Macaca mulatta: one gene and its partners. The protein of the gene in region 4 purifies or fractionates together with the protein of the main gene of each other region. This does not show direct contact. Links are inferred from orthologs where the notes say so. Each region holds a gene or a part of one and is shown on either strand. Other genes may lie near its edges. The genes, in order: SERPINA1, DERL2, HSP90B1 and OS9.

Region 1 (5,038 bases), on a different chromosome or scaffold from region 4:
TCTGCATTTCCCCTGCCAATCCAGGGGATAAAGAAAACCCTCAGGAATAGTAAGCAGAATGTTTGCCCTGAATGAATAACTGAGCTGCCAATTAACAAGAGGCAGGGAGCCTTAGACAGGAGGTAACAAATATGCCTGATGCTCCAACATTTTATTTGTAGTATCCAAGACACCCTCAAATAAACATACGATTCCAATAAAATGCACAGTCAGGATGGCATCTCTTAGCCTTACATCTCTGCGATGTAGAAATTCTGCATCTTCCTCTAGTTTTGAATTATCTCCACACAGACCTTTTTGGCAGCCTGGATGGTTGGTTTCAGCACCTTTTGCAGATGATGAAGCTGAGGCTTGAGGGATGTGTGTCGTCAAGGGGGTTCAGGGCTTCTCAGGGAGGGGACTGATGGCTCCTTTATTCTGCCACACTCTTCCAAACCTTCACCCACCCCTACTGATGCCCGCCTTACCCTCTCTGTCCAGGCAAATGGGAGAGACCCTTTGACGTTGAGGCCACCAAGGAAGAGGACTTCCACGTGGACCAGGCGACCACCGTGAAGGTGCCCATGATGAGGCGTTTAGGCATGTTTAACATCTACCACTGTGAGAAGCTGTCCAGCTGGGTGCTGCTGATGAAATACCTGGGCAATGCCACCGCCATCTTCTTCCTGCCTGATGAGGGGAAACTGCAGCACCTGGAAAATGAACTCACCCATGATATCATCACCAAGTTCCTGGAAAATGAAAACAGCAGGTGATTCCCCAACCTGAGGGTGACCAAGAAGCTGCCCACACCTCTTAGCCACGTTGGGACTGAGGCCCGTCAGAACTGACCAGAGGGTTGGAGAGGGTGAACACTACATCCCTGGGTCACTGCTACTCTGCATAAACTTGGCTTCCAGAATGAGGCCACCACTGAGTTCAGGTGGCACCGGCCATGCTCCATGAGCAGGACAGTACCCAGGGGTGACGAGGTAAAGGTCTCGTCCTTGGGGACTTCCCACTCCAGCGTGGACACTGTCCCTTCCCAATATCCAGTGCCCAGGACAGGGACAGCAGCACCACCACACGTTCTGGCAGAACCAAAAGGGAACAGATGGGCTTCCTGGCAAAGGCAGTAGTGGAGTGTGGAGTTCAAGGGTAGACTGTCCCTGTGGGGATGGGGGAAGAGCCTGTGTGGCTAGGCCCAGAAAAGCAAGGTTCAAAATTGGAATAGCCAGGGCATGTTAGCAAAAGGCTTGAGTTTCTCTGTCACTTTATCGGTGCTGTTAGATTGGGTGCCCTGTAGTAAATGATACTCCAATATGAGTCACACATTAGTGTGTCTGTGTGCATTCGTAATTATGCCCATGCCCTCCTATCTAGTTTATTTTGTACACTGTAAAACCAAGATGAAAATACAAAAGGTGTTGGGTTCATAATAGGAATTGAGGCTGGAATTTCTTTGTTTCACGCCAGCACCTCCTGAGGTCCCTGCTCCAGGGGTTGAGAAAGAACAAGGAGGCTGAGAGGGTAACTGATCAGAGAGCCCAAAGCCAGGCTGCCCGCTCACACCAGACCCTGCTCGGGGCGGCTCTGTCTCCCCATGGAAAACAAGAGGGGAGCACTCAGCCTGGTGTGGTCAGTCTTCTGGGGGCACTGCTACCAGCCCATGTTCCTCTGGGTATAGGACCCTGGGGATGTTTCAGGCTGGGGGCCCAGTGACCAAACACTACAGGGCAGGATGAGACATGCTTCCAGTACACCTAGAATCTCAGAGGAGGTGGCATTTCAAGCTTTCATGATTCATTTGATGTTAACATTCTTTGACTCAGTGTAGAAGAGCTAATAGTAGAACAAACCAAAGCCAAGTTCCCATGTTAGAGTGGGTGGAGGACACAGGAGTAAGTGGCAGAAATAATCAGAAAAGAAAACACTTGCACTGCGGTGGGTCCCAGAAGAACAAGAGGAATGCTGTGCCATGCCCTGAATTTCTTTTCTGCACGGCAGGTCTGCCAACTTACATTTACCCAGACTGGCCATTACTGGAACCTATGATCTGAAGACAGTCCTGGGCCACCTGGGTATCACTAAGGTCTTCAGCAATGGGGCTGACCTCTCGGGGATCACGGAGGAGGCACCCCTGAAGCTCTCCAAGGTGAGATCACCCTGATGACCCTGTTGCACCCCGGGATCTGTAGGGAAGGATGTATGGGGGCTGCAGTTCTGTCCTGAGGCTGAGGAAGGGGCCAAGGGAAACAAATGAAGACCGAGGCTGAGCTCCTGAGGATGCCCGTGATTCACTGACGCGGGACGTGGTCAGACGGCAAAGCCAGGCAGGGGCCTGCTGTGCTGCTGGCACTTTCAGGGCCTCCCTTGAGGTTGTGTCACCGACCCCGAATTTCATCTTTGCCCAGGACCTTCTAGACATTGGGCCTTGATTTATCCATATTGACACAGAAAGGTTTGGGCTAAGTTGTTTCAAAGGACTTTGTGACTCCTTCGATCTGTGAGATTTGGTGTCTGAATGAATGAATGATGTCAGCTAAAGATGACTCTTACTTTGGAAAACTAAAGGTGACCAAAGAACAACTGCAGTTCCGTGAACGGCTGCGTTGTCTTGGGATCTGGGCACTGTGAAGGTCACTGTCAGGGTCCATGTCCTCGAGGAGCTTCAAGCTGTGTGCTAGAAAGGAGAGAGCCCTGGAGACAGGCGTGGAGTGGCGATGCTCTTTCCCCTTCTGAGTTGTGGGTGCACCCTGAGCAGGGGCATAGGCGCTTGTCAGGAAGATAGACAGAGGGGAGCCAGCCCTGTCAGCCAAAGCCTTGAGGAGGAGCAAGGTCTGTGTGACAGGGAGGGAGAGGATGTGCAGGGCCAGGGCTGTGCAGCGGGAGAAAGGCCTGAGTGAACGCTTCCTGGGAGGTGTCCACGTGAGCCTTGCTCCAGGCCTGGGCTGGGGCACAACTCAGCCTTAGAACATGTCTCTGCTTCTCTCCCTTCCAGGCCGTGCATAAGGCTGTGCTGACCATCGATGAGAAAGGGACTGAAGCTGCTGGGGCCATGTTTTTAGAGGCCATACCCATGTCTATTCCCCCCGAGGTCAAGTTCAACAAACCCTTTGTCTTCTTAATGATTGAACAAAATACCAAGTCTCCCCTCTTCATGGGAAAAGTGGTGAATCCCACCCAGAAATAACTGCCTGTCACTCCTCAGCCCCTCCCCTCCATCCCTGGCCCCCTCCCTGAATGACATTAAAGAAGGGTTGAGCTGGTCCCTGCCTGCGTGTGTGACTGCAAACCCCTCCCATGTTGTCTCTGGGTCTTCCTTTGCCTGCTGAGGCCGTGTGTGGGCTCCAGGTCACAGTGCTCTCTCCGGACCCCCTCAACTGTGTTCATGGAGCATCTGGCTGGGCAGGCATATGCTGGCCCAGGATGGAGGGGGCTGAATCCTCAGCTTACGGACCTGGGCCCATCTGTTTCTGGAGAGCTCCAGTCTTCCTTGTCCTGTCTTGGAGTCCCTAATAAGGAATCACAGGGGAGGAATCAGATACCAGCCCATGACCCCAGGCTCCTCCAAGCATCTTCATGTCCCCCTGCTCATCCCCCACTCCCCGCCACCCAGAGTTCCTCATCCTGCCAGGGCTGCCTGTGCCCACCCCAAGGCTGCCCTCCTGGGAGCCCGAGAACTGCCTGACCATGCCCTAGCCCTGTTTTGTGGCATCTGCAACAACAAAAGAGAGAGGACCGTGTCCTCTTCTTGTCCCACTGTCACCTAACCAGGCTTGGGCCCGGCGCCTCTTGGGCACTTCTGGAAAACAACTGAAGCAGATTCCTCCTGAAGCCCATTCTCCATGGGGCGACAAGGACACCTATTCTGCCCTTGTCCTTCCATCGCTGCCCCATAAAGCCTCACATGTCTCAGTTTAGAATCAGGTCCCTTCTCCTCAGATGAAGAGGAGGGTCTCTGCTTCTTTTTCTCTATCTCCTCCTCAGACTCAACCAGGCCCAGCAGTCCCCACAAGACCATTACCCTATATCCCTTCTCCTCCCTAGTCATGTGGCCATAGGCCTGCTGATGGCTCACGAAGGCCATCGCAAGGATTCCCCAGCTATGGGAGAGGAAGCACAGCACCCACTGACCCCTGCAACCCCTCTCTTTCTCCCCTGAGTCCTGACTGGGGCCACATGCAGCCTGACTTCTTTGTGCCTGTTGCTGTCCCTGCAGTCTTCAGAGGGCAGCCGCAGCTCCAGTGCCATGGAAGGAGGCTGTTCCGGAATAGCCCTTGTGGTAAGGGCCAGGAGAGTCCTTCCATCCTCCAAGGCTCTGCTAAAGGGCACAGCAGCCAGGAGGTCCCCTGAGCCCCCAGCTGAAGGACAGGCTGCTCCCTCTGTCTCTACCAGGAATTGCCTTGTCCTGTGGAAGGCACTGACCCATCCCAAACTAATCTTGGAATCCCTGTCTAACCACTCACTGTCATGAATGTGTGCTTAAAGGATGAGGTTGAGTCAAACCAAATAGTGATTTTTGTAGTTCAAAATGGTGAAATTAGCAATTCAACATGATTCAGCCTAATCAATGGATACCAACTGTTTCCCACACAAGTCTCCTGTTCTCTTAAGCTTACTCAGTGACAGCCTTTCACTCTCCACAAATACATTAAAGATATGACCGTCACCAAGCCTCCTAGGATGACACCAGACCTGAGAGTCTGAAGACCGGTATCCCCCTGTCAGCTGTGTGACTTTCATGAAGTCGCCAAACCTTTCTGAGCCACAGCCGTGGCCAGTAAGACCTGCCTTTGAGCTGGTACGATGTTCAAGTCAGATAAAAAAACACCGTTTACACCTATTAGAGCAGAGAATAAATAGAGCTACATTTCTTGCATTTATGAGCTTTCTGTGAATCAGACATCCCTGTGAAGAACCTCCCTGGCTATTTCTCATTTAATAACTGTAGCAGCACTGTGATGTGTGAGTAGATCCGCTGTGCTCTTAAACTCCAAATCTACATATGAGGAAACTGAGGCTCAGAGAGGCTGCTGGTCTCCCACAATGTCACATA
Region 2 (5,242 bases), on a different chromosome or scaffold from region 4:
ATTGCTATTGGAGTGTTGCTATTCCCAGATCCTCTCAGTGAACAGAGCAGTGGAATTGTATGTATGTATGATAATGTATACAAATGTATATTTTTAGATCTATGTATTTTTAAAAACATGGGTTTATACTATACTCCCATTTCTAGTACTACCTCATGGTTCGTTCTAGCTTTTTTCCTATTTGTTTCCTCCAGTATTTTATTATGAAAATTTCCAAACTTATAGGAAATCAGAAAAAAATTGGAGTGAGCTTCATGTAGCCACCACATAGATTCTGTAATTAATAGTTCCCTATTCTTTTTGCACACCTATCCCTACATCTAGCTTTCCAATCCAAAATGTATGTGCCATTATATGTATACTTAATTCCTTGTATACTTGAATATGCATATCAGTAACTAGAGTTCAGTATTTATGTGCAACAAAATAAATCTTGAGTATGTCAACTGAGTTTCTATAAATGCACACTTCTGTGTATCTATCAAGACAGAAAATTACCATCAATCAGAACGTTCCCTGATATCCTTCCTTGTCAGTCATTGCACCTGTCCCCCAAGAAGCAATTGCTATTCTGATTTTGTTCCTCTATAGATTAGTTTTTCATGTTGTGCAGCTTCATGAGTAGAATCGTACAGTATGCATGTACTCTTTGGTAAAAGGCTTCTCTCATTCAACATAATGTTTTTGAGACTCATCTGTGTTCTTGTATTTATTGGTAATTTGTTCCTTTTTATTGCTGAGTATTATTTGGTTGTGTGAATGTACCACTGCTTTCCATCTGCCCTTTCCATCTGTCCTAACCTGATTCTTATTATGATTAATGTTTTACCTACCTAATTACCCCTCATATGTAACCAGTCTTTTGTGATAGTCTCCACCTCCCCCATATGGATGCCTTGCTCGTCTCACTCACCCTCAGATTCCCCAGACCAGGCTGCCCTCTTACGGGGATGCCTCCCCACCCTACTCAGGCTAACATCTCGTCGGGCCACCTCCATGTGTGCATGGTCTGATGGGGCTCTTGACTCCCTATACCAGGCTGTGCCCCCACCCCCATCCTGCTAATGTTTGGGCAGTAGAAGGGGTCTCAGTTTTGTTTTTGTTGTCATTGCTAAGGATTCTCACTCTGTTGCCCAGGCTTGAGTTCAGAGGCTCAGTCTCGGCTCACTGCAACCTTCGCCTCCCAGGTTCAAGTGATTCTCCTGCATCAGCCTCCTGAGTAGCTGGGATTACAGGCATGCACTACGACACCCGGCTAATTTTGTATTTTTAGTAGAGATGGGGTTTCGCCATGTTGGTCAGGCTGGTCTTGAACTCCTGACCTCAGGTGATCGGCCTCCCAAAGTGCTGGGATTACAGGCATGAGCCACCACGCCTGGCCGGGATCTCAGTTTCTAATGTACTTTCCTTTGATTATTGTGAGAGCAAACATTCTCACGTTTATTGACCACATGGATTTCCTTTTTGAATTGCCTATTCAGCCCTTTGCCCATTTTTTTCTGTTGGTTTGTTTTTATTGTTAATTCATAAGAATTTTAAAAACTCATTTTGAAGTATAGTTTTTCTGACTCCAGTATAAATTAGAAGTTTTCAAATACATTTCTAATTTTATCAACTGTGGGGGATTACAAGTAGAAGTATAAGTGCAAATTGAGGATGCTGCTTTAATGGTTCCTTCTTTAGTGAGGTTTTGAATTACTACATCCTAGTACTTAGAGAGTCTTTTGGACATTTACTATCCCCTCCTATGTTCTGCAGTAATTTTTCTTGGGATACCTTGTGAATTTTTTAAAACTTTTGTAGTAAAATAATACCTAACATAAAATTCACCATCTTAACTCATTTTAAATGTTCAGTGGCATTAAGTATATTCATACTATTTTGCTGCCATCACCACCATCCATAGAACTCTCTTCATCCTGCAGAACTGCAACTCTGTACTCATTAAACAACTCGCCACCCCAGCCACCACCATTCTGTTTTGTTTCTCTGAATTTGACTACTCTATGTACCTCATAAGTGGAATCATACAATATTTGTCCTTTTTTGTCTGGCTTATTTCATATTTCATTTAGTGTAAAGTCCTCAAGGTTCATCCATGTTGTACCATGTGTCTGAATTTCCTTCCTTTTTTTTTGAGACAGTCTTGCTCTGTTGCCAGGCTGGAGTGCAATGGAGCAATCTCAGCTCACTGTAACCTGTTCCTCCCAGGTTCAAGCGATTCTCCTGCCTCACCGTGCCAGGCTAATTTTTGTATTTTTGGTGGAGACAGGGTTTTACCATGTTGACCAGGTACAGTAGCTCATGCCTGTAATCCCAGCATTTTGGGACGCCGAGGTGGGCAGATCACCTGAGTTCAGGAGTTCGAGACCAGTCTGGCCAACACGATGAAACCTCGTCCCTCCTAAAAATACAAAAATTAGTTGGGCATGGTGGCGGGTGTCTGTAATCCCAGCTACTCGGGAGATTGAGGCAGGAGAATTGCTTGAACCCAGGAGGTAGAGGTTGCAGTGAGCCGAGATCGCACCACGGCACTCCAGCCTGGGCAACAGAGCGAGACCCCATCTCAAAAAAAAAAAAAAATTCTGTAATATGTATGTACCATATTTTGTTCATTCACCTGTTGATGGACACTTGGGTGATACCTTGGTTATGGGGAGACATTAATGATAAATATGTGAAAGTCAGCTTACAAAAGTAGTGTGATCTAACTTTTGTAAAATTACATAATGTAAAAGTTCCCAAAGAATAACTGAAACATTGACAATAGTTACCTCTGGGAATTTAGGATATTTTGCTAATCTCTTGTTTTCTCCTTCTCTATAATTATTATGATTTGGGTTGCTTTTCTAGTAAAAATCAGTGAAAGATAAAAGCTAATGTAAATGTTAATAATTATAGATGCTCTTACAATATGTTGACTGTTTAATTGGCAGGCGGGTGTAGTGCTTACCTATGGGTGGAAACCCTGTGGGACCTGAACTGACCTTGTAGTACTTTGGACCTGAGATGACTCTGGGACCAAATTATATCTGTTGCCTGTCTTTTAGGAAAGCTATTTTTGATACACCAGATGAGGATCCAAATTACAATCCACTACCTGAAGAACGGCCAGGAGGCTTCGCCTGGGGTGAGGGCCAGCGCCTTGGAGGTTAAAGCAGCAGTGCCAATAATGAGACCCAGCTGGGAAGGACTCAGTGATACCCACTGGGATTCTTTTATCCTTTGTTGCAAAAGTGTGGACACTTTTGACAGCTTGGCAGATTTTAACTCCAGAAGCACTTTATGAAATGGTACACTGACTAATCCAGAAGACATTTCCAACAGTTTGCCAGTGGTTCCTCACTATGCTGGTACTGAAAGTGTAATTTCTCGGAGCCAAAAAACTGGAGAAACAAATATCCTGCCACCTCCAACAAGTACATGAGTACTTGATTTTTATGGTATAAGGCAGGGCCTTTTCTTCCTCTTGATAGATGAGGCCATGGTGTAAATGGAAGTTTCAGAGAGGACACAATAAAACTGAATTCCATTTTTCTCTCACTGTATTAAAGCTTTTGTGTGTGATCTTTTAAATTCTGATAATGTATTGTAGCTCTCCTGCGTAGATCTGAGCTCAGAACAGTTTACACAGCTGTTCTTCTGTGTCTTCACAACTTTTAACTGGATTTCATTTCAGGATTGGAAATACGTGGCTGTCATGCTGTGGTTGTGTACATCTTACTAATTCAGAATGCAAGATTCACCAGGAAGATGATTTATTTCTGTCATCTGGATAGGTTGTTTCCATCTGGGTTTTGCAAAACTGTCAGACAACGTGGAAAAAAAGGAGGGAGGATGCTTCTTGTAGCAGTAGGAATTCAGCTATAGGAAAGTCAGCTGTAAGCTAATGTGGCATCTTATTTGCTTTGCTTACATTTCTCCATTAAGAAGTATCCAGGGAAAGATTGCTAAGGGCCACATTTTTGGAAAACTAGGAAGATTTTCATTAGACTTTTTTTTTTTCTTTTCTTTTTAAAAAAGTTTTAATTAAAAAAAATTTTTTTTTTAATAGAGATGGGGTCTCACTGTGTTGCCCAGGCTGGTCTTGAACTCCTGGACTCAAGAAATCCTCCCACCTCAGCCTCCCAAAGTGCTAGGATTACAGGCATGAGCCACCCAGCCTTTTAAAAAAATTTTTTTTGCCTTTTTTTTTTTTTTAATTAAAAAAAAATAGAGACAGGGTCTCAGATTTTCATTCGATTTAGAAAACAAGTTAGAATGTTGACTTTGGAGCCAGATGAACCGATACCAGTTAGCCAGGCACATGTTCTTCCAGGGTCTTTGGCTAGGTAACATTAGTGATTTGCTTCATGAAAATTCAAGAACCTTTTCAGAACCAAGTACCTAGATTACCTTCCCAATCAGGTAGAACTTAAGACAGGGTCCGCAGAAGTAGACACTTAATGCTGTGGTTCAATAAATACCTCCCCTAAGTATTAAGTCTTCCCTGAGTCTCAGCAGGTTTGCATTCACACTGCTTAAGTAACTCACAGAACCTGGAAGAGCACCGCTAGGAAAGAGATGATTCCAAACAGCTTTCATTAACAGTGTGTATGCACCAGTCCCTTTCCCAAAAGTGGACTGTTAGTAGTAGTTCAACCTTTGTTAAGGGGTAGCTTTCCAGAATGTGAGATTGTCCTCAGAAAGACAGATATAGGCTTAAACATAACGGACATCCTAAATAGGAATTTTCAGATTGTTTTTGAAGTGAAAAGTGTTTTAATGTCTTTAAATGGAATTGCGTAACTAATGGAATTTAAGTATTTTACATGTTGCTAGTAACTTTGAATATGATTGTTGCAATTTTATGGAACCTGGGTCTATGGGACTGCTTTTTCTTTAAGCAGTTTAAAAAAGGTTTTTAAAGTTTAAAAGCCAGTCTTAGCATGTATAATCCTTACGGGATTCTTAAGTTTTATCCTCTTGTTTTTGCTCAAGAATGCTTTATCAGTGACGTTTGTTTTGTTTTTTGTTTTTTTAAATTGTTTTTGGGCTAGAAATGAGTTTCTCTAGTTTTATTTGTTCTCCCTGAGTTGAGTTATGCAATGAATGGCATTTTTGTGGTAAAATGCTGATCCTAAAATCTATTCACTCACTGTTCATTTAAGTAGGGAATATCTGTATACGTTAATGACTGGGTAAAACAGGAAGTACGTTTTGAATATACAGCCTAAAGGCAGGCAGTTACAGGGTTTTTTGG
Region 3 (6,684 bases), about 46 Mb from region 4:
TTACACAAGTTCTGTATGAACAGAAACCATATCTATATTACTCACCCCTGTATTTCTAGCACCTAGCATAATTCCTGGCACACACCAGGCCTTCAACATTTGCTGAAATAATGAGTTAATGAATGAATAAACCAATCAACCAACCAACCAATTGACCTTGGATCTTGGCTCTATTCCTTAATGTTCCCTGATGCCAACTGCTTTCTTGCCTTGGTCTCCCCAGTCTGCCTTCCCCCTGACTCCCCACTGCTGGAGTAGTCCTGCCTACTAGGAGAGCTATCCACTGTCCTTAACTGCATTCTTTACCTATTGGTTTTTTCTTCCAAGTTTAACTACAAAGTGGGGTGCTATCTCGTGGGGTTAGCTTTGCTCAAGGAGAAGCTTAACAACAACAAGAACAGTAGCTGTTTCCAGCAATACATAGAGAAAAGCTAAAATTAGGAAGCAAGGGAATCCAATACAAGGGCAAGAAACTTAATAACCATCCGGAGTGTTAGTTCTGGAGGAGCTAGGCCAAGATGGGCACTAGGGATCAGTAATGGGTCAAAAGTCAGAAGAGGTGAAGAGACCACAGCCAGAAACAACAAAGCTGGTAAGCAGCATATTCTCTTTACAAGGTACTCAGCCGGACAGCCAATCTTTTTTTTTGAGACGGAGTTTTTGCTCTTGTTGCCCAGGCTGGAGTGCAGTGGCAGGATCTGGGCTCACTGCAACCTCCGCCTCCTGGATTCAAGCGATTCTCCAGCCTCAGCCTCCCGAGTAGCTGCGATTACAGGCACCAGCCACCACACTTGGCTAATTTTTGTGTTTTTAGTAGAGACGGGGTTTCGCCATATTGGCCAGGCTGGTCTTGAACTCCTGACCTCAGGTGATCCGCCCACCTCGGCCTCCCAAAGTGCTGGGATTACAGGCGTGAGGCACCGCGCCCAGGCCGGAGAGCCAATCTTTAATGAACAGAGCTGATCAGACAAGGGCCCGCCATCTTCTGCCAGCCTACCGTCTGGTGCTCTGCCTGCCTCATGAATTCCCACCATCATCTGCAGAAACGTCTACCCACACGCAGTGGCTCTATTTTGAAGGATATGTCTCAGTCTCAGTTCCCTCCAGGTGCAGCACCAACTCCCCACCACTCACTAGTTAAGGTGGCATTTGCAGTTTCAGAACTGGTTGCTTACTTATTCAGAATTGGAGGAAAAGGTGAGCTGTGAAATGCGAGGGGAAAAAAGTGAACTCATTTTTCTCTAAAAACAGAAAATAAAGGAGTTAAAATACACAAAAACGCAACTGAAATCTCTGAATGTAATTCACCCTCTAGTATGCTCTTTTTAAAAAAGATGAAAGCACAGAAGCATGCATAAAGCATTCTTTGTAAGCTACTCTTTGCTTACTAATAACAAATGTAGGTAAATTGGGCAGATGTAAATAAGGCACCACCACAATACGTGAGCGCCAACCACAGAGCCAAGATCCGCACACCTAAATATGGGAAGTTGTAAAAGACTATGACAGACTGTCACTAAAAAGCTTGTCTTCAGGAATTCGGATGATTATCTGAAAAGATATTCAAAGTTCAATTTTATTGGAGGAAGCAATAAGGAAGGGGGATGTGTATGTCAGAGATGGGCGCGGATATGCGTGTGGGTAATGTATAGAGTAGGTTAAAGGGACGTAGAAAATATTTCCAAAGGTACAAGTTTAGCATGAGGGACTTCCCTCACAGGAAAGACACCTGGTGTTTTATACGTCCTTCTGAACACGGACAGGGTATTTCTATGAAGTTACAAAGCTGCAAATCCCGTTCTCATGTGCAGCACCACAGGTTTTGCTTTCAAATATCTGCAGGTGCATCCTCCTGCATTCGTTAAACTAAGGGTTTTCCTTTTCTGTGCTAGACCCACATTTTCCACCACGCTCTCCACCTGATTCACAGAAGGGGTTCTAAGACCGTCAGGTCGGGGAGGTCCCAACCATCTTCTGTAAACCAGATCAGGAAGGCCTGGGGATTCCGGCTGCGCACAGACGAGGTGAAGGCCCGGGCTGCCCAAGTGACACACTTGTAGGCGGATTCGGAAACGCGTGCTCTCGAGCCGGAGGCGGAGCCCCCAGACTCAGACCGACCCCCCAGAACAAGGCGGCCTTGCCCGAGGCGTCAAGGCTTTCTAGGCCCGCTTCTAAAAGCTGTGTACAATGGAGACTCCTGGAATAGGCACATATCTCTACTGTAATCAGAACGAGATGTAACATCTAAGACGCAGGACAGGGCTCCGGCAAACACACGCTGGGGGAACGTGAAAGTAAGGGCCAAACTACGCAGCTGGTCCTCAGAGACCAAAGACTACGATTCCCAGCATTCAATGCAGTGTACCCCATAGGACATTGCATGTCGGGAGCTGTAGTTTCTCACCACCTCCATCTGGAAGGGTTCTAGGGGATTTTCAACCACTCTCGTGTGTTTCTCCTTTCCGAGAAGCGCCGCCACACGAGAACTCTGGCCGCGAAAGTCGTGCTGGAATCACTCCCAACGTAACCCCAGATATAGATGGGAAAGGGTGAAGAACACGTTGCCATGGCTACCGTTTCCACTGGTCACAGAATAAACGCTCTCTAGGATCCGGAAGTAGTTCCGCCGCGACCTCTCGAAAAAGATGGATGTGTTCTGTGCTTACATTCATTGGACGGTTGCCCTTAGAGGCCACAGCCGCCCAGGCAAAGGGGCGGTCCCACGTGTGAGGGGCCCGCGGAGCCATTTGATTGGAGAAAAGCTGCAAACCCTGACCAATCGGAAGGAGCCACGCTTCGGGCATCGGTCACCGCACCTGGACAGCTCCGATTGGTGGACTTCCGTCCCCCCCACGAATCCCCATTGGGTGCCGTGGGTGCGTGGTGCGGCGCGATTGGTGGGTTCATGTTTCCCGTCCCCCGCCCTCGAGAAGTGGGGGTGAAAAGCGGCCCGACCTGCTTGGGGTGTAGTGGGCGGACCGCGCGGCTGGAGGTGTGAGGATCCGAGCTTAGGGGTGGGGGTGGAGGCGGCTCCTGCGATCGAGAGGGACTTGAGACTCACCGGCCGCACGCCATGAGGGCCCTGTGGGTGCTGGGCCTCTGCTGCGTCCTGCTGACCTTCGGTGAGTGATCCTAGAGGAGCAGACGTCCCCCCTCTACACACGCGGCCGCTTCTCGAAGGTTCTGGGGGCGTTGAACCTGGGAGGGGGGATCCCGAGGCCTGCGGTGGGCCAAGGGACGTCACCTTTCCTCGAAAGAGGGCCAGGGGATTACGTTTATTCTCTTCTTCCTCTGGAAATAATAAAAGAGAGCAGAATCATCTAACTCCCCTACAGATCTAATAATATCTCGCCCGGAGGTCTCAGCGACCTCGGGGTGGGGCCTCTCTGGGGCTCTGGCTCCCCCGGGAGTTGTGAGGAGTCCCTCCCCCCTCCCCGCCCGGAGGACTTTTTCGGCCACCGCTACCTTCGGCCATCCCAGCTTTCCCGTCCGGTAATTCCCCAGACTCCGACTCCTCGCAAGCGCGTGTCCTTTCTTAAGAAGATGCTGGCTTGGGAGCGTGAGGCCTGGGGCCAGCGGAATGGCAGTGTCAGCGTGTTTGATTCGGTTTTGCTGGAGCTCGGTTCTTAACATTTCGCCCCCTTCTCATGCCTCTGGGCTCAATTTCAGTTCCTCTCGCCAGAGATTGCATAAATCCTATTTGCATTCTGACCTGTGATAACGAAGGCCGAAGTTTTGGTTTGGTCAGTTGGGAGGCCTTGGCTCGGCCTGCGCGCAACACGTGTGGTTGTAGAAGAGACCTGGTGTCAGTCTGCTTAACGTTATTTATAAATGATCGGAGACACACTGTTTAGAAGTGGTGACTACCTCAGTATTTCAGAATCTACTGGGGACCTCAACATCAGAACTTAAATAGATGTGCTGTCTTGGCTTTACCTTGGGTATTTAAACCAGGGAATACACTCTTTCATCCCCTCCACCCTTATTTACCAGCTGAATTTTGCAACCCCTACCCTTCCCTATTTGATCATCCTCCTTGGAGAAGTGCGATGTTGAAGAGTTTTCCCGTGTTAAATCTTCAGGGTCGGTCAGAGCTGACGACGAAGTTGATGTGGATGGTACAGTAGAAGAGGATCTGGGTAAAAGTAGAGAAGGCTCAAGGACGGATGATGAAGTAGTACAGAGGTTTGTGTTCATTTGAACTTACCTATACAGATAAGCCCTGTGAACCTTGTGAGTTAGGGTCACTTCTTATGTATCTCTTCTCCAAAGGTCCAGATAAAGTCTAACACCCTGTATTTAAATACCTGGTGAGTTGTGTGCATACATACCTCCTAACTTGTCCCTGGGAGTGATTAAAACTGAGTGAATTCCTTTGAAAACTATATTGCAGAATACTAGCACCACGAACTTTGTAAGACTTTAGAAAAGAGTTTCAGTTGGATTTGTATTCATTAACTGTGTACGCCGAGTAGTTTAAAAATGGGATTTCTGTCAGTTGAACAATATTTTAAAATTTGGCCTCTTGGGATTTATTGACAGTTTTGAAGTCCTCACCGTGGAGCATAAATGAGTATGACTTTGCTTTTTAGTAGAGGAGACTTGGGGGTTTTTTTTCTGGCAATTTTAAGAACCAGGTATTTCCAGTGCAATGTTAAAGGTAGCCTACTGCTGTGCTAACATAATGAGATGGTATATCAGTAATACTTTATAAGGGTTTCCATTTTAACCCCCAAGACAATATTTAGAGGCCACTGTGCTCGCATCATAATTCCTCTAGTTTTGAAGGGAACTAAGCCATGCAATATTTGCTTATCTAACTGATTTCCTTAGAGAGGAAGAAGCTATTCAGTTGGATGGATTAAATGCATCGCAAATAAGAGAACTTAGAGAGAAGTCGGAAAAGTTTGCCTTTCAAGCTGAAGTTAACAGAATGATGAAACTTATCATCAATTCATTGTATAAAAATAAAGAGGTAAGCAACATGTGGTTAGAATATTTTGTCTCTATATGGTGGCATACTTGTTTACTTAAATTTGCTTGATTTACTGCAAAAGTAATGTACTAACCGAGTAAGTAGCTAACAACCTTTAAATACTTAATATGTCCAAGAATTGTTACTAGATATCTGGGAAGAAAGGGAGCATCAGACATTTTCTTTTTCCTTTACCTCTAAATAGGTTCATGGCCTGATAATAGTTGTGATTCTAAGGGCAGTCTCGTAAATTAAACTTCTTGCATTGTATACCTCAAGATCACTGTCAGATGGGTAGTGTTACTACCCTTACCAGCTAATGTATCCCTTATAGTTGCCACAGTTCTTTGTGTAAGGAGCTATGCCTTTTTTTAATCAAAAGAATAAAGCCACTCCTATACCATAAGAAGTCTTAATTCCTTAAAGAGTGCTTTTATAAGGTACAGAGAAGAAATAAAATGGGTTTGGCATAAAATGAATATCTTAATGTATCTTGAGGATAGTCTTAAGTGTATTACCTCTGGCTTCCATTTAGATTTTCCTGAGAGAACTGATTTCAAATGCTTCCGACGCTTTAGATAAGATACGGCTAATATCACTGACTGATGAAAATGCTCTTTCTGGAAATGAGGAACTAACAGTTAAAATTAAGGTAAGTGTAAGGCAGTTTTTCTTTCTTTTAAAGGAAAAGGAATCCTTAGAGGTAGAAGATCCCTATCGGTCAAGATAGGCTAGATTATATTGCAATGACAAAAAACCCCCAAGCCTCAGTGGCTTGAAAGTCAGCAAACTATGGCTAAATCTGACTTTACTTGTTTTTATAAGTAGTTTTATTGGAATGCAGCCATGCCCATTTGTTTATTATCTGTGACTGCTTCTGTGTTTCAACAGCAGAGTCAAGTTGTTTTAACAGAGAACATGAGTCTCCCACAGCCTAAAATATTTACTATGTGGCCCTTTACAGAAAAAGTTTGCTAGCCCTTGGCTTAAATCATTGATCACAGTCTGCCTGTGGTCTTTGCTCTGCTTCATCCCCATGCTGGGACAGAGGCGTGGGCAGCCATCTGTAGTGTGTAGACGGTTGCCATGGTGCAGAGCAAGCTTAGAGGGTCTCATACTACTATAATTAAAGGCTCAGCCTGAAAGCAGAGCTCTCATTTACGACTCATTGGCCATTTATAACTCATTGGCCAGAACTAGTCACATGGCCTTAGCCATTCTTAAATGGAGAAAGTAGAATCCTCCTAGGTTTCTGGAAGGCAGACAGCCAGGAATATTGAGTGAAGAATATTAATGATCCATCACAGATTCCAAATAGAAGAATCATTCAAGTTGTTTTGTTTTCTATTAAAGAAATAGGCAAGACATAAAATTTTATTTTTCTTGAATTGTTTTTCTTCAAAGGTAACTTGTTTTATTTAGGTCAGCCTCTAACCCTTGACATTTAGACCAGTCTGCCCATTTGATATTAATACTTTCTCAAATACATAGATTACTTTAAGATGTACACTTTCAGAAAAGGCCACAAAAAACTATGTAGAGGAAAATATCTCAGTTTAGTTTTCTGTATTGGAATTGATGGGACCCAAAGCTGGTTAGTTCCTCAATATTTGCTTGGCGTAATGTAAATATTAAATACAACTATCTGGTTCTTGTCTTGCTTTTAGTGTGATAAGGAGAAGAACCTGCTGCATGTCACAGACACCGGT
Region 4 (5,269 bases):
AACATCATCCAGGAGGCAAGCCCAGCTCCTCCTCCTGTAATTCCACAGCCGCCTGGTCCCGTGAAGCAGGACAGGCTGAGGGACTAAAAGAAACAGAGAGCACAGCACAGGGCAAGGACGGGGCACTTGGAAATGATAGCTGTTTCCCTAATTAATCGGGGCTATTGGGGAAGGGGGACCAGAGAGAGGCACAAGACTTAAATATCAGACTCTCTGGCCAGGCACAGTGGCTCACGCTGTAATCCCAGCACTTTGGGAGGCCGAGGCGAGCAGATCACCTGAGGTCAGGAGTTCAAGACCAGCCTGGCCAACATGGTGAACCCTCTCTACTAAAAATGCAAAAAACTTAGCCAGGCATGGCAATGGGCACCTGTAATCCCAGCTCCTTGGAAGGCTGAGGCAAGAGAATCTCTTGAACCCGGGAGGCGGAGGTTGCAGTGAGCCGAGATGGCACCACTGTACTCCAGCCTGGGTGATGAGCAAAACTCCATTTCAAAATATCAGACTCTCCTACACAGCCCAGCCCGCTGGCTGCCTCCACGCCCCAGACCCTTGACTCACTCTCTTCTCTTGGGTATTCCAGACCGAGAAGGAGCTGGACCCAGATGGACTGAAGAAGGAGTCAGAGCGGGATCGGGCAATGCTGGCTCTGACATCCACTCTCAACAAACTCATCAAAAGACTGGAGGAAAAACAGAGTCCAGAGCTGGTGAAGAAGCACAAGAAAAAGAGGGTTGTCCCCAAAAAACCTCCTCCATCACCCCAACCTACAGGTGAGAGCAGTCAGACAAGAAGGAGTAGCCCAGTCCGTTGTTTTCATCCCTCAGCTGGTCCTATTCCCAGAGGGGACCCTGTTCCTTCCCTTCTGAGGGTGCTTATTCTCTCCCCGGTTTCTGGAACACTGTCCTCACTTGCACCTGCTTCCCATCACCATCATCCCTTTGCGTGCTTACCTCCTATTCATCCCTCTGGGAAGCAGCTTTTAGAGCATGTCTGCCTGTTTTCTGGTTTGCTCCTGTACACCCAGTACCTAGCACTCTGCCTGGCACACAATGGATGATCAGTAGGTAGTAATTGAATGCTTGCGAGTCTATATGTGAAAACCACACATCTATGAAGGATGCAACCTGTCAACATTTAGGACTTTGCACCAAGAGAGTCCCCAGCTGTCAGGGCATGAATAGGAGAGCCCAGCCGCACATGAGCCAATAGCCTGGATAGACTTTAAATTATGTCTTCTTCTTGCATCCCCTTGTGTCCATTTCATAGGGTCCTATGGGTGTGGACATCAGATGTTCCAAATGAAATGTTCCAGTTTCAAACCCTCCATCCCATTCTCCCTATAAACATTGAAATGTCTTTAAAGTCCTAACATATGGAGGAGGAGACCACACTTTTCCAACCTGCTTCTTCAGACAAAACTTTGTTGGTGCAGGTGGCCTGCTTTTGGCTTCAGAAAACATTTGTTTTCCTATAGGTGATGGGCAGAATTATTGGGTAGGGTGGGAAGACGGAAGGCAGCAATTGGTGGAGGGAGCTCTATAGGCTGAATTGGGAGTGGGGGCACACATTTTTTTGAGCCCTGGCTCATACACATGTTGAGATGGAATAGCTGCCAAAGCTGCCACCCCTAACCCTGGAGTCATGCCTCTGCTTTGTGTTTCCCTGTGTGTCTCCCCCTCTAAGAGGAGGATCCTGAGCACAGAGTCCGGGTCCGGGTCACCAAGCTCCGTCTCGGAGGCCCTAATCAGGATCTGACTGTCCTCGAGATGAAACGGGAAAACCCACAGCTGAAACAAATCGAGGGGCTGGTGAAGGAGCTGCTGGAGAGGGAGGGACTCACAGCTGCAGGTGGGCCCTGGAGGGCGGCTGGACCCAGCACTGTCGGAAGGGCAAGCTGCCGGAAGTGGAGGGGCTGGGACCAGTGGGGCAGGGGGCCTGCCCTGAGGCTCCCAGCCATCCTCTCCTCTCACTGCATACTGCTCCTTTCCAGGGAAAATTGAGATCAAAATTGTCCGCCCATGGGCTGAAGGAACTGAAGAGGGTGCACGTTGGTTGACTGATGAGGACACAAGAAACCTCAAGGAGATCTTCTTCAATATCTTGGTGAGAGGCTTCTACCCCCAAGTCCTGGCCCCCAGGCCTCCTGTCCCCAGCCCGCCTGGAGTGGAGGTGTGGGCCTGCCCCAGCCATGCCGTTGCTGAGCTTCCGTTTCCTGATCTGTAAGACAAGGCTAGGGTTCCAGTGATTCAGAGTGCTGCCATGCAGGAAGAGCCTCTCAGGACATGGGTGTCCTCATTCCCTGCCTTCCCCCAGCTGCCTGGCCCAGGACTTCCTTGGGCTCAACAGCGAGTAGCTCCAGCCCACCTCTACCCTCTCCCACCAGGTGCCGGGAGCTGAAGAGGCCCAGAAGGAACGCCAGCGGCAGAAAGAGCTGGAGAGCAATTACCGCCGGGTGTGGGGCTCTCAAGGTGGGGAGGGCACAGGGGACCTGGACGAATTTGACTTCTGAGACCAACACTGCACTTGACCCTTCATAGAATCCAGAGTCTTCCTGGACTGGCCTGCCTCCTCCCCACCTCCCCACCCTGGGACCCCTGAGGGCCAAACAGCAGAGTGGAGCTGAGCTGTGGACCTCTCGGGCAATTCTGTGGGTGTGGGGGCCCTGGGTGAATGCTGCCACCCCAGCTGGCAGCCACCTTGAGAGCTCACCCGGCCTGTGATGTTTGCTCTCCTGAGCTTTCGCTCAATCCTCTTCCTCTTCCTCTGTGGCTTTTCTTGTTATTGTACTCTAATGATAGGATATTCCCTGCTCCCTACCTGGAGATTCGGTAGGATCTTCTGAGTGGAGGTGGGTAGAGAGAGCAAGGAGGGCAGGACACTTAGCAGGCACTGAGCAAGCAGGCCTCCACCTGCCCTTAGTGCTGTTTGGAGTTGCTTTACCCCCTTCTCTTGAATTGCCTTGAGATGTCCTTCTCCCTTTCCCTGCCCACCCTGTCCCCTACAATTTGTGCTTCTGAGTTGAGGAGCCTTCACCTCTGTTGCTGAGGAAATGGGAGAATGCTGCCCATCACCTCCAGCACAATCCCAGTGAAAAAGCTGTGAAGCATCCACCATGTTCTTGAACAATCAGGTTTCTAAATAAAGAACTGGACCATCAATCTGTCAACCTTTTTTGTGGGGTGGGGGTTCCAGCAGGGAGGAGGCTCAGTGTTCTTTTCAGATCATGCTCTGATCCTGTTCTTTGCTCCCCACTCCCCAGGTACTATAAACGGGGGCTGGGGTATGCAGGAAGAGACCAGAGTGGCTAAATGAAGCCTGGCCTGGCAAGGATTGAAAGAAACACTTGCAGTACCGTCATCTTCTTTTTCTCATCTGTCTGTTTCTGTTCCTTCCCTTCTCTTGCACCAAGTCTTTCCCTATCATTTCCCCCTTTATACCCTGAAAGCCAAAATGCACACCATGGAGTTCCCCACAGCAGGGATCTTCCTTCTGCTGCGGTCTCGCCCACAGCATGCTCCAGATTCCATTTGTCACCCACACCCCTACCCACCTGTCCTTTCAACATTTCCCAAAAAGACCTCCACCTTTGGGCATGCCCAGAGAGAGGGCTGCTGCCCACACATGCCAGTTTCTTAGTGTGCCAAGGGTATGTGGGCCTGGTGTCTCCCTTTCTTCTTCACTACCAAGTGCAAGCATGGGTCCCCCAACATGCCTCCTCCCAGTGTGGAGGACTCTTGATTTTTTTTTTCTTTCTTTTATTGAGACAAGAGTCTCGCTCTGTTGCCCAGGCCGGAGTGCAGTGGCCCGATCTCAGCTCACTGCAACCTCTGCCTCCCAGGTTCAAGCAGTTCTGCCTCAGCCTCCCAGTGACTGGGATTAAAGGCATGCACCACCATGCTCTGCTAATTTTGCTCTGAGGTGAACGGCCTTTCTGCTGAAGGCTCCCCCCGGGCTCACAGGAAAGAAAAGGGATAGAGGAGCCAGGCACGGTGGCTCACCCCTGTAGTCCTAGTACTTTGGGAGGCTGAGGCGGGAGGATCACTTGAGGCCAGGTGTTCGAGACCAGCCTGGCCAACATGGTGAAACCCTGTCTCTAATAAAAATACAAAAAATTAACTGAGTGTGGTGGCGGGTGCCCATAATCCCAGCTACACGGGAGGCTGAGGCAGGAGAATCGCTTGAACCCTGGAGGCGGAGGTTGCGGTGAGCTGAGATCACGCCACTGCACTCCAACCTGGGCGACACTGTGAGACTGTCTCAAAAAAAAAAAAAAAAAGGATAGAGGGCCGGGAACTCCCACATGTCTGTAAATGGAGAGTGAAGGATTCAACTGTTGAAGGAAGCTCTTGCTGAATGTGGACTAGTGCTTACTGTGCATGCTATGCTTACGTTGTTTTGTTTTGAAGTGTAAATTGGCAGACTTAGAAAACCCTGCTTCCCCTGGTCCATCTGTGCCCCCTGAGGGAGGGATGCTCTAGCTGGGCAAGAGCTTAGACACTGCCTTGAGGGCAGCAGTAGTCAGAATGCTGTGCCCAGACCACACCCCTCATCTCCCACCAGCGGGGCCTTGAACAAGTCACTTAACTTTCTAAATGCTGTTTCTTCATTGGTAAATTGTAGACAACAGTACTGGCTTTTTAAGATGGTTGCGAGGATTTAATGACATAGAGTGTATGTCTTGCTTTTAGCACAGAACCTGGCCCGAAGTAAGTGCTCACTAGCTTTCTATTATAAGCTAGCTCTTGAGTTCTGAAAAGACTGGGTTACTTGGAAGCAAGGGTCTCAGGAGTCCCCACAGCTGATCAGCAGCTCAGAATGGGAAGGGGCTGGGGCAGGAGGACTGTGCTTTGATTTGCTGGGGATGGAGTCTCAGCATCGCCAGAAAGCAGAGTTTTGGAAATCTCACTCTGTCAATCATTTTGTACTTTCAATCAAAATTCCTTTTTCCTTTCCTTTGGCAGCACTCCCATGGTGAAGGTCGGTCTGCCTCAGCTGTGCTAAGACAAACAAAAGGAGGGGAGCAGGGTGTGGCAGATGGCAGCCAGCAGGGCTGCAGGGAAGGCTGGCGGATGGCAATAGGGCATCCTGCATGGCAGGGCATCCAAGCAAGGCAGCCCAGGGCGAGCTGTGAAGGGGGCATGGGCACAAAGGGGCAGCAGCTCTCCTTCACCCACCCAGGGAGTCCCTTTCTGGGCTCCTATTTTGTCATAACTTGGAGGACTTGATATTTTGTCATTCCATCCACTACCGCCTTTTACATCTCCCC

What was found.
Region 1: the proteins of OS9 (region 4) and SERPINA1 purify together in Homo sapiens (affinity purification with western blotting; 4 studies listed by BioGRID). This does not show direct contact. The link is inferred for Macaca mulatta from reciprocal best matches to the Homo sapiens genes OS9 and SERPINA1.
Region 2: the proteins of OS9 (region 4) and DERL2 purify together in Homo sapiens (affinity purification with western blotting; 3 studies listed by BioGRID, with this or other methods). This does not show direct contact. The link is inferred for Macaca mulatta from reciprocal best matches to the Homo sapiens genes OS9 and DERL2.
Region 3: the proteins of OS9 (region 4) and HSP90B1 purify together in Homo sapiens (affinity purification with mass spectrometry; 6 studies listed by BioGRID and IntAct, with this or other methods). This does not show direct contact. The link is inferred for Macaca mulatta from reciprocal best matches to the Homo sapiens genes OS9 and HSP90B1.

What each region holds. Positions count from the first base shown.
Region 1 is NC_133412.1:167,654,845-167,659,882, reverse strand, and holds the end of SERPINA1 (alpha-1-antitrypsin), read left to right. Parts: intron 1-480; coding exon 481-751; intron 752-1,986; coding exon 1,987-2,134; intron 2,135-2,980; coding exon 2,981-3,172; 3' UTR 3,173-3,248; downstream 3,249-5,038.
Region 2 is NC_133421.1:6,977,956-6,983,197, reverse strand, and holds the end of DERL2 (derlin-2), read left to right. Parts: exon of another isoform or gene 1-61; intron 62-3,050; coding exon 3,051-3,156; 3' UTR 3,157-3,553; downstream 3,554-5,242.
Region 3 is NC_133416.1:111,147,233-111,153,916, forward strand, and holds the start of HSP90B1 (endoplasmin precursor), read left to right. Parts: upstream 1-3,073; coding exon 3,074-3,122; coding exon of another isoform or gene 3,123-3,291; intron 3,292-3,465; coding exon of another isoform or gene 3,466-3,475; exon of another isoform or gene 3,476-3,712; intron 3,713-4,082; coding exon 4,083-4,185; intron 4,186-4,833; coding exon 4,834-4,975; intron 4,976-5,510; coding exon 5,511-5,627; intron 5,628-6,642; coding exon 6,643-6,684. Other genes in the region: uncharacterized protein LOC144333002, read right to left, coding at 2,669-3,291, 3,466-3,475.
Region 4 is NC_133416.1:64,897,796-64,903,064, forward strand, and holds the end of OS9 (protein OS-9 precursor), read left to right. Parts: coding exon 1-15; intron 16-583; coding exon 584-773; intron 774-1,686; coding exon 1,687-1,851; intron 1,852-1,993; coding exon 1,994-2,106; intron 2,107-2,386; coding exon 2,387-2,512; 3' UTR 2,513-3,161; downstream 3,162-5,269. UniProt on the Homo sapiens protein: Lectin component of the HRD1 complex, which functions in endoplasmic reticulum (ER) quality control and ER-associated degradation (ERAD).